Linked DNA regions of Rattus norvegicus. The protein of the gene in region 1 interacts with the protein of each later gene in a biochemical or structural test. Links are inferred from orthologs where the notes say so. Each region holds a gene or a part of one and is shown on either strand. Other genes may lie near its edges.

Region 1 (4,445 bases):
GTCAGTGGTTCTCAACCCTCCTAAAGCTGTGACCCTTTAATGCAGTTCCTCATGTTATAGTGGTCCCAATACAATAAAACCATTTTCACTGCTACTTTCTAACTAATTTTGCTATTGTTATGAATCAATGTAAATATCTGTATTTTCTGGTGGTCTTAGGCAGCTCAGTCCTTAGACACCCCCCCCCCCGAAAGGGTCACACCCCACAGGTTGAGAACCAGTGTTCTAAGTGTTTACAATTAAATACTCTACCAAAACAAACAAAAAACTCACAAAAGCTCATAAGCTAAATAAAAATAGCAATGACCAAATAAGATTTTTAATTTTTACAAGCTTCAACTGTAATCCAATAGTAGACTAAATCATCTGTTTTTAAAAAGTACTAGTGTGCTCTAAGCCATGGGGATACCTCTAAGGTCTGCCCTGCACAGGACAGCAGACAACGTGGGCTTCTACATACAACCTTTCTGCCAAGCCTCTGAATAAAGTACTTCAAAAACAACGTACTGGTGTAGTTTAGTGCTAGAATAAACTTAGTAAATGCACCAGGTCCTGAGCTACAAATCAAGCATCCAAACCAAATCTTTTCAGTTTGGAGGGAATCCTGGAACTAGCTCTGTAGAACAAGCTGGGCTCAAACTCAAAGAAATGCCTCTGTCTCCCTAGTGCTGGGATGAAAGTAGCCCGCAGCCACCGCCCAGCTCCAAAAAAAAATCTTACAAATATTAAAATACTGTATGACTAGCCTCTAAGCAAGGGTGTGCTAACAGTAAACAGAAAATGAGCACCTCAGTGTCACTTTGCACACTGTCTCCAACTAGTTTCAACCCAAGTTCCACCCTTCACATGTTAGGCTTCTAGGCTTCTCTTGTCCTTAAATTTACACACACTATGCACATCAACAGGGTCATCAGTAGGAAGAGTATCTCACCTCTGAGCCTGACACTGGCAGTTAGGCTCCATAAGAGCTCACAAAGCACAGACCGCATTTTATATAACTTTGTATTCTAAATATCACTTGGTAACCACCCAAAAGGTATCAGCAACTCTGAGCTGACTCAGAACAAAATCCAATGACTACATTGTGGCTTTAGCACAATCCAAGACTTAAATGGAACTGAGAGTCATAGTTCACACTGCTGTTTTATTACTTAGGTCTTTTTAGTTTTGCCTCTATTATTACCTGTAATATTTTCCTCTAATACTGGTAGAGAAAGGTAGAAGATTCAGTCAGAAGTAGACGGCAGAACTTGTCAAGAGTTTAAGTTAAATTTAAATGCTTCCCCTCCTGTTCTTACATTGATATTCTAAAGTTAGTTAATTTCACTAACAACTTATTAGGCAGCTTTGCAAAATGCAGGAAAGCTGATGTCAATAAGGAACAAGTAAATCATGCCTCCACCCACAAAAAAGTAGTCTTGAATTCTGCCAAGATAAGGCTGTTTTGCAAACTAATCAAAATTATTCAGTCTATGGGTGAGTTTTAAAAATATCTGGCAAAGGTGGTATACAAAGGTTTCTGGTTGCTAGTCTATGCCTTTTTGCACCTGAGATTTTTATCACACAGGTGTGACATTCTTTAAAAATCTGGGATGGAAGACCAGTGAGCCAGCTGCCGGCAAACCCAAACCACAACAAAAACAACAACAAAAAAAATCACCACCTTCTGGCTACCGGGTTTACCTACGTGATGCTCTCTGTGCATCTTGCTTCAATTAACTTCAAAATAGCGCTTTAATTAAGAGGGAAGCAGTGTAGAGTGAGGAGGAATCATCAGTGGAAAAGCAGATGTTGAGGCGCTTAAGTGATGGTTCGGAAAAGGCTCCTGAATTTCGATTCTCAGGACTCCAAAAGCTGCCCTCTGACCTTCACACTCAAGCCCTGGCTCGCGCCGCTGCCCCCACGCTTAATTTTCCTTCCTTTAATTAAAGAAAAGATAATCTCCAAAGTTCCTATTTCCAAAATTAGTGTTCCTTGAGTATCTCCCAGACGATCTCCTCGCGTAAGAGTAGAAGAATCTACACGGTCCTCGGAGGCGTGCGCACTGCGCCGGGAGGATGAATGAATGGAAGCCCGGCGCGTGTGAAATGCAGGTCTACGGCCAGCCGACCCGCTGGAGCGAACTGTAGGCCTCGCTCCTCCCCCTTCCCTCCTCCATGACAGCCCAGTCCCGGCGTGGAGGGGCCAGGACAATGTGATCACCTTCTCGGCCGGCCCCCTTCCCCGGCCCCCGGAGGTGCGCGACACGACCCCTGGGCGTGCTCTCCACTCAACGCCACAGCCCCCAGCTCCCCGCGGGACGCGCTCCCCTTCTTGCCGCGCCCCGCCCGCCCGGCCCCGCGCGCCCACCGGCTCCGCCAACCCACCCTCCTCCACAGCTTGAGAGCGCGGCCCGCACGAGGACCCCGGCGGCGGGGCGCGGGCGACGGCGAGGCGCCGCTGCCTCAGGCTCCCTCTGACTCTTTCAGGCCAGCTCGCCGCCCACCCGCCCCGCCAACCACGGTGCCCGCTAGGAGCCGCCCGCCCCACGCCCACCGGGACCCCAGACCGATCCCGCGCTGGCGGCCCGAGCCGCCCTCCGCCGGCCGCACCGCAGGGCCGCGCGGCGCCCCTCCCCCACCGACCCGGTGCCCGGGCCCCCACACGGCGTGTGCGCTCCACGCTGCCGCCGCCAGCCTCCCGGCGCCGAGGCTGCCCGCGGAAGGTCAGGCCGGTGGGAAAGGGGCAGGACGCGGCCGGAGGCGCTGTGCGCGCCGGGAACGCCGTCCTGCGGACAGTCCCTGAGCGGAGGAAGCCAGAGCGCGGGGACCTCGGGGGTGGGGGCCGAAGGCAATACTCACCGGTTCCACAGTCGCCATCTTAGATCGATCTGATCGCACAACCGCTCCTGAAGGGGGGGCGAGAGGAAAAAAATGAGATTCAAACCGGATTGGCCGGCTCCTGCCCACGTGACGGACGTGTCCGTTTGGCCCTGGCGGCGCCTGCGCAAGACTGCAGCTGCTTGGGGAACAAGAGGCTTCTGGGAAGTGGAGTCTCTTTTTTTTTTTTTTTTTTTCTCTTAAGGCAAGGAAGTTTTTTCTCCCAAAAAAAAAAAAAAGTGATCACGTGGTCGCTGGCGAGGGTGCGCGGCTCCCAGCGCCGCCCGCACTTCCTGCAGAGTAGGTTTTAGGCCTCTGCGGTGCAGCGGGCAGAGCTCCGGTTGCTCTCACTGCTGGGCATTCCTGCTGTGCCCTCTGTCGCCCAGTCCTCCCATCTTTCCTAGAAGGTTGAGAACTGCAGGCTCAGCACACGCAAGAAGGCTTCATTTGCTTAGCTGAGGTCCTAAGACAAGTTGCTTGTGTTTTTATTTAGTTTTCTTTTCGCCTCCCACCATTTTCTCTTGGTTTCAGAAAGAGGCGGCGATGGAGAGTCGTTGATGAGGTCTGCGTTCCCCCGTCCCCGGTCCACTAACGCGGGTGGTCCCTTGCTGCCATCGCTGCCCAAGCGGGTGGGCGGGCTTGCCCACGGTACCCACTCACACGCTTGGGGAAGGGGAGTGCACGCGTCGGCTTTTCCTGTTCCCAGTCCTGAGATGAAGGCGTCAGGGGTGAATCTTGCTGGACGTAAAAAGTTTGGAAAGTTCTGTCCAATCGGTTCCAGTATTCTGCTTGGACGTGAACGGAAATAGCCTACGTCCAGGTGCCAGCCAGGGAAGCCACTCCGGGCTCCGCTGACTCAGCCCTGGACTGAGGGTCAGGAGTCGTTAAGCCGGGTCAACTATGACTCTTGACGTTGACTCATGCTCCTTAGGCGAGTGACTTAATCACTCAGCGCCTCAGCTTTTTCATTTATGAACCAAAGATGATAATACACTTACCTCACAAGGGTGTGCTGTGGTAAGGACTGTAACCAGCTTTGAAAACGCTTCGGAATCTAGAAGCAAGCGCGTGCCTTCTAAGCACCGGCTGCCTCCGCCTCCGCTGCTGTTTTAACAATTTTTTTTCTTGACCCTGGGTCTCCTGTAGCGCACGGTGGCTTTGAACTTAAGATGTAGGGGAGGATGGTCTTGAACTGTTGATCCTCCTGCCTCCACCTCCCTGTCAAAGTACTGGGATTACTGGCACGTGCTGGTAGTGGGGGCGGGGAGAGCCCTTTTTTGCTGAGAGGGATGGAACTCGGGGCTTCGGAGTGCTAAATAAGCACTCTACCAACTGAGTTATATCCCCAACCCTTAACAATGTTTTAAATTTTTCTTTTGTTTACTTTGTTACGTACACCAATGCAGTTTTAAAGTTTCAAGACTTTGCTTTTCTTTACGAATGTCGCTGCTCCCAACAGAAACTTCATGTTCATGAAATTATGTTCATAACAACTTCTAACAAGCAGAAATTTGCCCCTACACTGGCATGCCACATTTTCTTCTAAGTTACTGGGCCATCGTTTCTCAAGACCAAGACCGTGTTGAG
Region 2 (3,645 bases), on another chromosome or scaffold:
GAAGGCAAAATAAATTTTGCTCAAATTTTAAAAATATGAACTATTTCTATTTTGACACTTTTAGGCCTATATACATTTCCAGGAAGGGAAGATGTAAAATTGTAGAATTCCTTTAACTGTTTTCTTAGAAAAAATTTGAATTAGTAAAAAAAAAAATTTTCTGGCTGACATACAGATGTGGGTGGATTGGCAAATGTTTTAGACTGTCTGGAAAGTACTGTGTTTTAAAGCACTGATTGGCAGCTCTTTGTGACTGAAGAAATCTTCACATCAAGTATTTTCTGGGGATTCTCCTAGATTGCCAATATGTGAAGTTGTTTCAGGACTAGGGAGGATTTTGTTCAGTGTTGTTTTTTACACTGAAGTGTGGTCTCATGAAGCCCAGGTTGGCCTCTCGCCCATGTGTAGCTCAGGATGACTCATGATTTTTTGCCATATCTCCTGGGTTCTTAAATCAGAGGTGTGCACCACTTCTCCCAACTCGTGTGGTGGTAGTGCTCCTGCTAGGCAAGCTTTTTACCCACAGATGCACCCCAGCCTCGGAGGAGCTCCTGGCACTGTATACCACTTGTAGTTGTAGTTCAGATGCTACTAGAAAGTGCTCTCAAGAGAAGGGTTTATTTTGTTCTGTTTGATTATGCCTTTTTCTTTCTTTATGCTTGCTTTTCAGACATTAAATTCCTTTTATGGTAAAGAAGTGTACTTTACTTAAAAGATTTATAAGCCGGGTGTGGTAACACACACCATTGGGCAGGGTCTGACCTTGTCTGTGTAGGGAGTTCTAGGCCTGGAGCAGCTTAGGGGGCTGCACTGTTATTGTTCCCGTTAATTGGTTTTCTGTCTTCACAGTGGATCTGTCACTGCCGAGGGTCTGCTCTGGTAACAAAATGTCCTTCCTGCTTGAACCATCTGACAGCTTACCCCATAGCAGAAAAATGTGGGCTTTGAAATCACCCTTGAATCATTTGCTTGTTAGATAGTTCCTGGACCAGAACTAATCTCTAAGCCTCTGTTTCGTCTTTTGTAAAACATAAACACAGTAGTCTCTGTCCTGGTGAGGGTGTAATGAAGGGAACAGTACAGGCTGGCTATTAGCCCAGCTTGTGCTAGGTACTTCATAAATGTAACTGCCATCATTAACCTGCTTTCTCAGAAGTCCATCTCATGAGTGGGGGTGCACCAGTTCCCATGTTTAATGTTTTATGGAGGTAAGACAGTGACTCAGTGTTTATAAAGAGAGAACCGTTAAATGTATGAGGAACTTCACTTGGTGTTCACCTCTGACTGACACAGAGAGAGAGAGAGAGCGAGAGCGAGAGCGCGAGAGAGAGAGAGAGAGAGAGAGAGAGAGAGAGAGAGCGAGCAAGCGCAAGAGCGCAAGCGCTAAGGCTTTTCTATGTCTTTAAAGAGCAGAGCCAGTGTAGCGTTTTGATTGATACCAGGGTGCAGGGCCCTAGTAGAGATGGACACGGCAGTCCGTATAGTCAGTCTTAATATTTTTGGGGAAGTCCACTCTGCATTCAGAAATGGCAGCTCTGTTGCAACTCTACCCTGACCCAGCTGGAGCTCTGTTGGCACTCAGGGCAGGATTGCCCCTCAGATAGAGGATGTGGCCACTCTTGGCCTCTTCCTAATGCATGGCCATGGCACCTGCTTGCTGGCCATGGAACATAGTACCAAGCTCCTGTCTAGGCCATGGGTTGGTCATTCTTATGATACATTCATTGCAGAAACTGGATCAGCAAATGAAGGAAAGTGTCTCCAGTCCCCAGACATGTTGAAGTAAATAAGTCCTCTACAGAACAGTGAACATCTCTAGGGTAACTTTAGACGTAACCAAGTAGTACTATGTGCCGTGTGTGGCCTGGGTAGTGGCCCTAAAAGATGGGAATTTGTCAGAGCTGTGTTAGATGTAATCAACAGAGAACACACACGTGTGTGATGAACACATATAGTTCCTTCCCATGTATTGTATTTTTTGCCCTGCCAACTTAATCTGAGAAATTTGGCGTTGAGCATTTATTGCTTTTCCTTACTGTGATGAGAAGGAGCAGTGTCGTAGGTAGACAGACGCCTTAGCTACCTGCCCAACACATGGAGTGAATTTTGAAGCTGTGAAGAATTCTCCTTAGCATGGTAATGTGCTCCGCTTTCTCTGGGTGGCAGTGCTCTCATTCACAGACTTCACACTGCTGTAGTCATCTTCGTGGGTGCAGGCTACATTGAGAGGAGAGTCGCTCAGACTTGGCTGTCTTAGATAACTAGACATTTTAAGGAAGAAACCCAAGTTGGGGGCATCAGAGACCTTCCTCTCTCAGTGACTCCCATGTCATTACCTGGAATCCAGTAACTTGGTTGATTAGCACTCCTTTCCTTTATGGTTATCAGTTTCTGCTTTGTTCTTATTTCTCTGTACATGGAGTGTTTATATATAAATTGAAATATATACAGAGCAAATGTTATACACACACACACACACACACACACACACACACACACACACATACACACATATAAACCTTTTCCCACACAGAGAAGTCCAGTGAATGGTTTATTGGATCCTTAGCTCTGGTTCCCTTTGAGGAACTGCTTTATTTTTTTAAGAACCCGATGATTCTGTTCCCTCACTGCTGCTGTTTTTGGTTAGAACCTTTTGGGAGAAATAAAAGTTAATTTTGAAACCACCTTTGATGTTAAAGTGCTTGTGGAGTTTATAATAATTTGATTTCTGATTATTGGTCTTTATACTATTGTACATGGATAGTAATGTGCCCCTAGTACAAAAATAGTCACAGGAAGCACGGTAGAGAGAGGCAGAGGCTGTTTTATCTTAGAAATGGTTGAGCTGAACTGTAATCCTAGCAGTCAGCAGGCTGAGGCAAGAGGACCATGAGCCCAGGATGCAAGAAAGGTGTGTGGGGGAAGATCTGAGGTTAGCTTCTCGTTCTCCTCTTGTTCTCCTGACATCACCACATAGTAAACTGATCCCCTGTCTTACTCTTGAGCAAGCGTCACCTGTTAGTGTCCTGGAGACTGAGGGCTAGGAAGTGTAACTAGAAAACAACCAGGCCAGTGTCTTTGGAGTCTGGTATTTTGGTCTGTTTTCTTAACCACAAGTATGGGTAAGCGATGGGCAGACTTGGCCTAAGACAATACTGTGTATTCTATGATTCAAAATTATTCTTAAAATATTTTATTTCTCTTCCCCCAGAAGAAAAGCCAAAACCAGACCCAGTGTTCCAGTCTCCTTCAACAGTCCTTAGGCTCGTGCTTAGTGGGGAGAAGAAAGAGCAAGCAGGCCAGATACCCGAGACTGCTGCAGGAGAGCCCAGCCCAGAGCCTCCTCGGACCTCATCACCCACCACCCTTCCTCCACTTGCCCGGAGTTCACTCCCTTCCCCCATGTCCGCTGCCCTTAGCAGCCAGCAGCTGCTCACTGCTGAGGACAAGTGTGAACTCTCTTCCTCAAAAGATGATGCCCCCCCTGTGCGCAGCCCCACGTCTTGCACAGCAGCACCAGGCCCTTCACTAACAGATGACATTGGTCTATGCAAGAAACCCTGTGGTGTAGCACCTCCTGACGGCCAGCTCGTTTCTAGTCCTGTCCTAATTAATGAAATGAACGGAGTTGGTGAGAAATTACCA
Region 3 (3,733 bases), on another chromosome or scaffold:
AAAAAAAAAAAGATTTATGTTCATGAGTGTTCTATCTGCATATATGCCTACACACCTGAAGAGGGCATCAAATCCTACTGTAGATGGTTGTAAGATGTGGTTCTGTTGTCCAGACTTGAAACTCAGGACCCCCGGAAGAGATGTCCGTGCTCTTAACTACTGAGCCATCTCTCCAGCACCATCCCCAAAGTCATTTCTAACACTTTAAAAAAAGAAAGGAAGAAACAGCTGTGAAACAAACATATTGGTGGTTATGCTGAGAAGAGGATATAAGGTTTCAAGCACTGAACTAGGGATTGGTACTTAGAAGTAATAAGCAGAAAAGGCAGGGCAAAAAATTGGGGATCACTATTAGGTGAAACAGCATCTCTTCCAGGGTTCCAGCTTACAAATGGAGAGGGAGGGGCTGCTAGAACAATCTAATTCCAGGAAGGCTGCTGCCTGGAAAGACAAGAACTGCTAGACCTTAGCAAGGCTCAGGCTGTTGCTTGTGCCTGGCAATTCCAGTAGCCTTCCCTCATGCCCTGATTTTGCTGAAAGTGGGCCAGTGGGAGCTGGAAACAGACTTATGCCTTAGTTGTGCAGCTGTGAATTTAGCACTGAGGAGGACAATGGAGCCAAGACAGTTTTTTGAAAGTTTACTAAGCAGCCAGAAGGTGACATACTCTGTTCCCCAGTGCCAGCCCTGAGGGGAAGAGCAGAGTTTGGGAGGAATATGTATAGACCAGAGAAAGCTAAAGGCTTGGCAGGTTGCCCACTGCTATCCCTGGTCTAGCTGCCTCAGAACTAAAGGAAGCTCAGAACCAACAATTCACTTCCAGATTAGATGAGGCCAGCTGGCCCTGGATACCCTAGAAGGGGTGATGACAATAGTGGCATGAGAGCTCCTTCCATAATTCCACACAGGTCACTTTGCACTAGATTACATGTCCATTTCAAATTGTTCGTCATCTGGGGAGAGAAAACAAGAGAACACAGTTAACCCATCTAAGGGTTGGTAAGCTCTCTTAGAATTGAATCCCAACTCTGCTTCACAAAGGCAGTTAATAGTTGAACCATTTTCTTACCGGTTATCTCTTCCTCTGTCTGCTTCTGTTCCTTCAGCAACTCCAGCTTGAAGGGTGGTACTGTTGGGGGAATTGTGACCCCGGGGATCTGAGGGAGGCAGCAGGGAGGTGTCCGGGCAATGGGTGAGTTTTTGCACTCCAGCAGGAACTTTCTGTCGTAGATGATCCTGGTGCCTGTGAAGGAGTATAGATTGAGGTAGAGTTAGGAACTTGGACAGAGCCAAGCTCGGATTCAGCTGGCAAACCATCACATTATAAAGGACTTGTGCACACAACCAAGTTTAGTCTAAGCATTCATTAAGGCAAGTTAAATATTCTAAGTAAGTCTATGTAGGGTGCTTTAGGCTAGGGTGGTGGTGGTGGTGGAAGCCTGAAGAAGGAATACCACACTTTAAACTTAGATACTTGAGGTCCTTAGTCTCCAGTTCTCATTGCTTTGATGTGTGTATAAAGTGGGGCCTAACCTCACCTCTTGCAAAGGAAGCTGCATTCTTTGGTAAACATGATGGGCCATTCACCTATCCAAAGTCCTTCAGGGCTAGCCTCACCCCTGGGAATATATGGTCAGCAAAGTATCCTCAAAGATCCCTGCCCTGTTTTTGCTGTTCCCGTCTGCTTCCACGAAGTAGGTAGAAACCTGTTTGCCAGCCCAGCAGCTTATGGTCCAGGTGCCACAACTACTACATATTATTTGCTGCTTTCTGTTGAGGTCACCTATTGCAGTGGTTCTCAACCTGTGGGTTGCTATACAAGGGGTGGATATCAAGCAACCCTTTCATGGGGGTCGCCTAGGACCACCAGGAAAAAAGATGTTTCCATTATGATTCTTAACTTTAGCAACAAAAGTAATTTCATGGTTGGGGTTCACTATAACATGTATTAAAGGGTTACAGCATCAGGAAGGTTGAGAACCACTGTTATATTGGGACCCAGGACCAGTGATTTTGGTGCAGCATAGGCATGGAGCACAACAGAATTATCCCCCTGAATCGCCAGAAAGCCAGGTATAAAGCACTGTTTCACTGCTTTGGGTTTTCGGGAAAACAAGTTTCAAATAGGCTTCCCTCAGTGCTATAATTTGAAGAGAAGTCTGAGAAAGCAATGCTAAGATCGACCCCACCTCACCCTCATATTGTCCCACAGAGCACAGACCCCAGCCCTGCCCGCTGACCTCCCGGGGTAGTGGCGTATAGTGTGCCGCCAGGCGTGGTGCTGTAGCCGTCTGGCAGCTGGTCCCAGGACCCTGGAATTGGGCAACTCGTGGACGTGGACATAGTGAGCAGCAGGAAGGCAACAGCTGGTGCCTTAAAACCGTGGAAAACAGCTCTGAGGTGGAGGCAGTCGCAGCAGGCAATACTAGGATACGTCATACCCGGGGCGGGCCACTGGCCAGTTAACTTGAGGGCTCCGCCCACCCGCTCCACCCACCTGCCCAGGAAACTCAGGATCTGTACTGACTGACCTGAGAGATAGATGTTGGTTGAGAAGTTTATTTACTAGTAAGACCTGGATGTTGGAAGGAGTAATGTAGTATTATTAATCACGTTTTATGATAAAAATATGCCCACAGGTTTTATAGGAGGGGAAGACAGGATCTCATTTAAGTTGACTTCAGAGTTTGGATCCTTCAGCCCAGCTTTGTAGTGCCATGGATACCAATTTGTTGTAGTTGGTCAAGGTATCCTATGGCCTACCCTTGAGCATAAGCTTTTTGAATATGACACTTTTAAAGGTCATTAAACTAGACCCTGGAGAAACACAGTAGTCAAGATACTTAGACCATGGAGGCCAGCCCTTTGATCAGACATAGCTAACTGAGAGCTTGGTAAGGAAGGCTTAGCTGTTAAGTTCTCTGGAAAGGAACAGAAAAGATAGGCTTGCCTCACAGACTGGATTTTATTTAGATTATTACTATTTTTCAGACAGGATCTCACTGCCCTGGAACTTGGTATGTAGATCAGGCTGGCTTGGAATTAAGAGGTCTATCTGCCTTTACCTCTGAGTGCTAGCCTTAAAGGCATGTACTACTAAGCCTGGCTGAGATTGGTTTTGACAAAATGTCTATGCACAGTGATTTGACAGGTGATTCCTGTTAATGCAGAAGCTGCAGGTTTTCAGAGTCATACTGTAGGTAGCAAGTGTACATACATTTTATTATTCCCAAAAATGTACTGACTGGAGTCTCTTACAAAGTGATGCATGACTGAATAGACTGGATATTGTCTGACAATTTAATTTCACTTTTAAGCAAACTGAGAAACTAGCCCGTTGGTTCTGAATAGAGGAATGGTGGAGAGGATGGACGGTGATACTGCAGATGAGTCAATTGGGTAGTGACAATGGAGACAAGAGAAGTGGATGAAACTTAGATACACAAAAGAAGGACAAAGTGGGGGCCAGTAAGATAGCTCAGTAGATTAAAGCACTTGCTGTCAAGCCTGACAGTTTAAATTCAATCCCTAGGACTTCATAAAGTGGAAAGAGAGAATCAATTCCTGTAAATAGTCTTCTAATCTCTACACAGGTACAGAAACATGCACATGTCCCTCCCCCAATAAGTGTAATAAAAACTTAAAGGTGGAAGATAAAGTGAACTGAGCAAGGGCAGGCTGAGGAAAATAGAGATAAGCTAGGGTAACGCCCAATGTCCTGGCTTGGGAGTCTTG

Evidence for each region.
Region 2: the proteins of Eif4e (region 1) and Eif4g3 form a complex in vitro, tested with the Homo sapiens proteins (3 studies listed by BioGRID and IntAct, with this or other methods). The link is inferred for Rattus norvegicus from reciprocal best matches to the Homo sapiens genes EIF4E and EIF4G3.
Region 3: the proteins of Eif4e (region 1) and Eif4ebp3 form a complex in vitro, tested with the Homo sapiens proteins (2 studies listed by IntAct, with this or other methods). The link is inferred for Rattus norvegicus from reciprocal best matches to the Homo sapiens genes EIF4E and EIF4EBP3.

What each region holds. Positions count from the first base shown.
Region 1 is NC_086020.1:229,739,179-229,743,623, reverse strand, and holds the start of Eif4e (eukaryotic translation initiation factor 4E), read right to left. Parts: upstream 2,872-4,445; 5' UTR 2,859-2,871; coding exon 2,841-2,858; intron 2,439-2,840; exon of another isoform or gene 2,367-2,438; intron 1-2,366. UniProt on the Homo sapiens protein: Acts in the cytoplasm to initiate and regulate protein synthesis and is required in the nucleus for export of a subset of mRNAs from the nucleus to the cytoplasm which promotes processes such as RNA capping, processing and splicing.
Region 2 is NC_086023.1:155,617,351-155,620,995, forward strand, and holds part of Eif4g3 (eukaryotic translation initiation factor 4 gamma 3), read left to right. Parts: intron 1-3,211; coding exon 3,212-3,645. UniProt on the Homo sapiens protein: Component of the protein complex eIF4F, which is involved in the recognition of the mRNA cap, ATP-dependent unwinding of 5'-terminal secondary structure and recruitment of mRNA to the ribosome. Functional homolog of EIF4G1.
Region 3 is NC_086036.1:28,538,961-28,542,693, reverse strand, and holds Eif4ebp3 (eukaryotic translation initiation factor 4E-binding protein 3), read right to left. Parts: upstream 2,371-3,733; 5' UTR 2,342-2,370; coding exon 2,239-2,341; intron 1,242-2,238; coding exon 1,068-1,241; intron 952-1,067; coding exon 923-951; 3' UTR 624-922; downstream 1-623. UniProt on the Homo sapiens protein: Repressor of translation initiation that regulates EIF4E activity by preventing its assembly into the eIF4F complex: the hypophosphorylated form competes with EIF4G1/EIF4G3 and strongly binds to EIF4E, leading to repression of translation.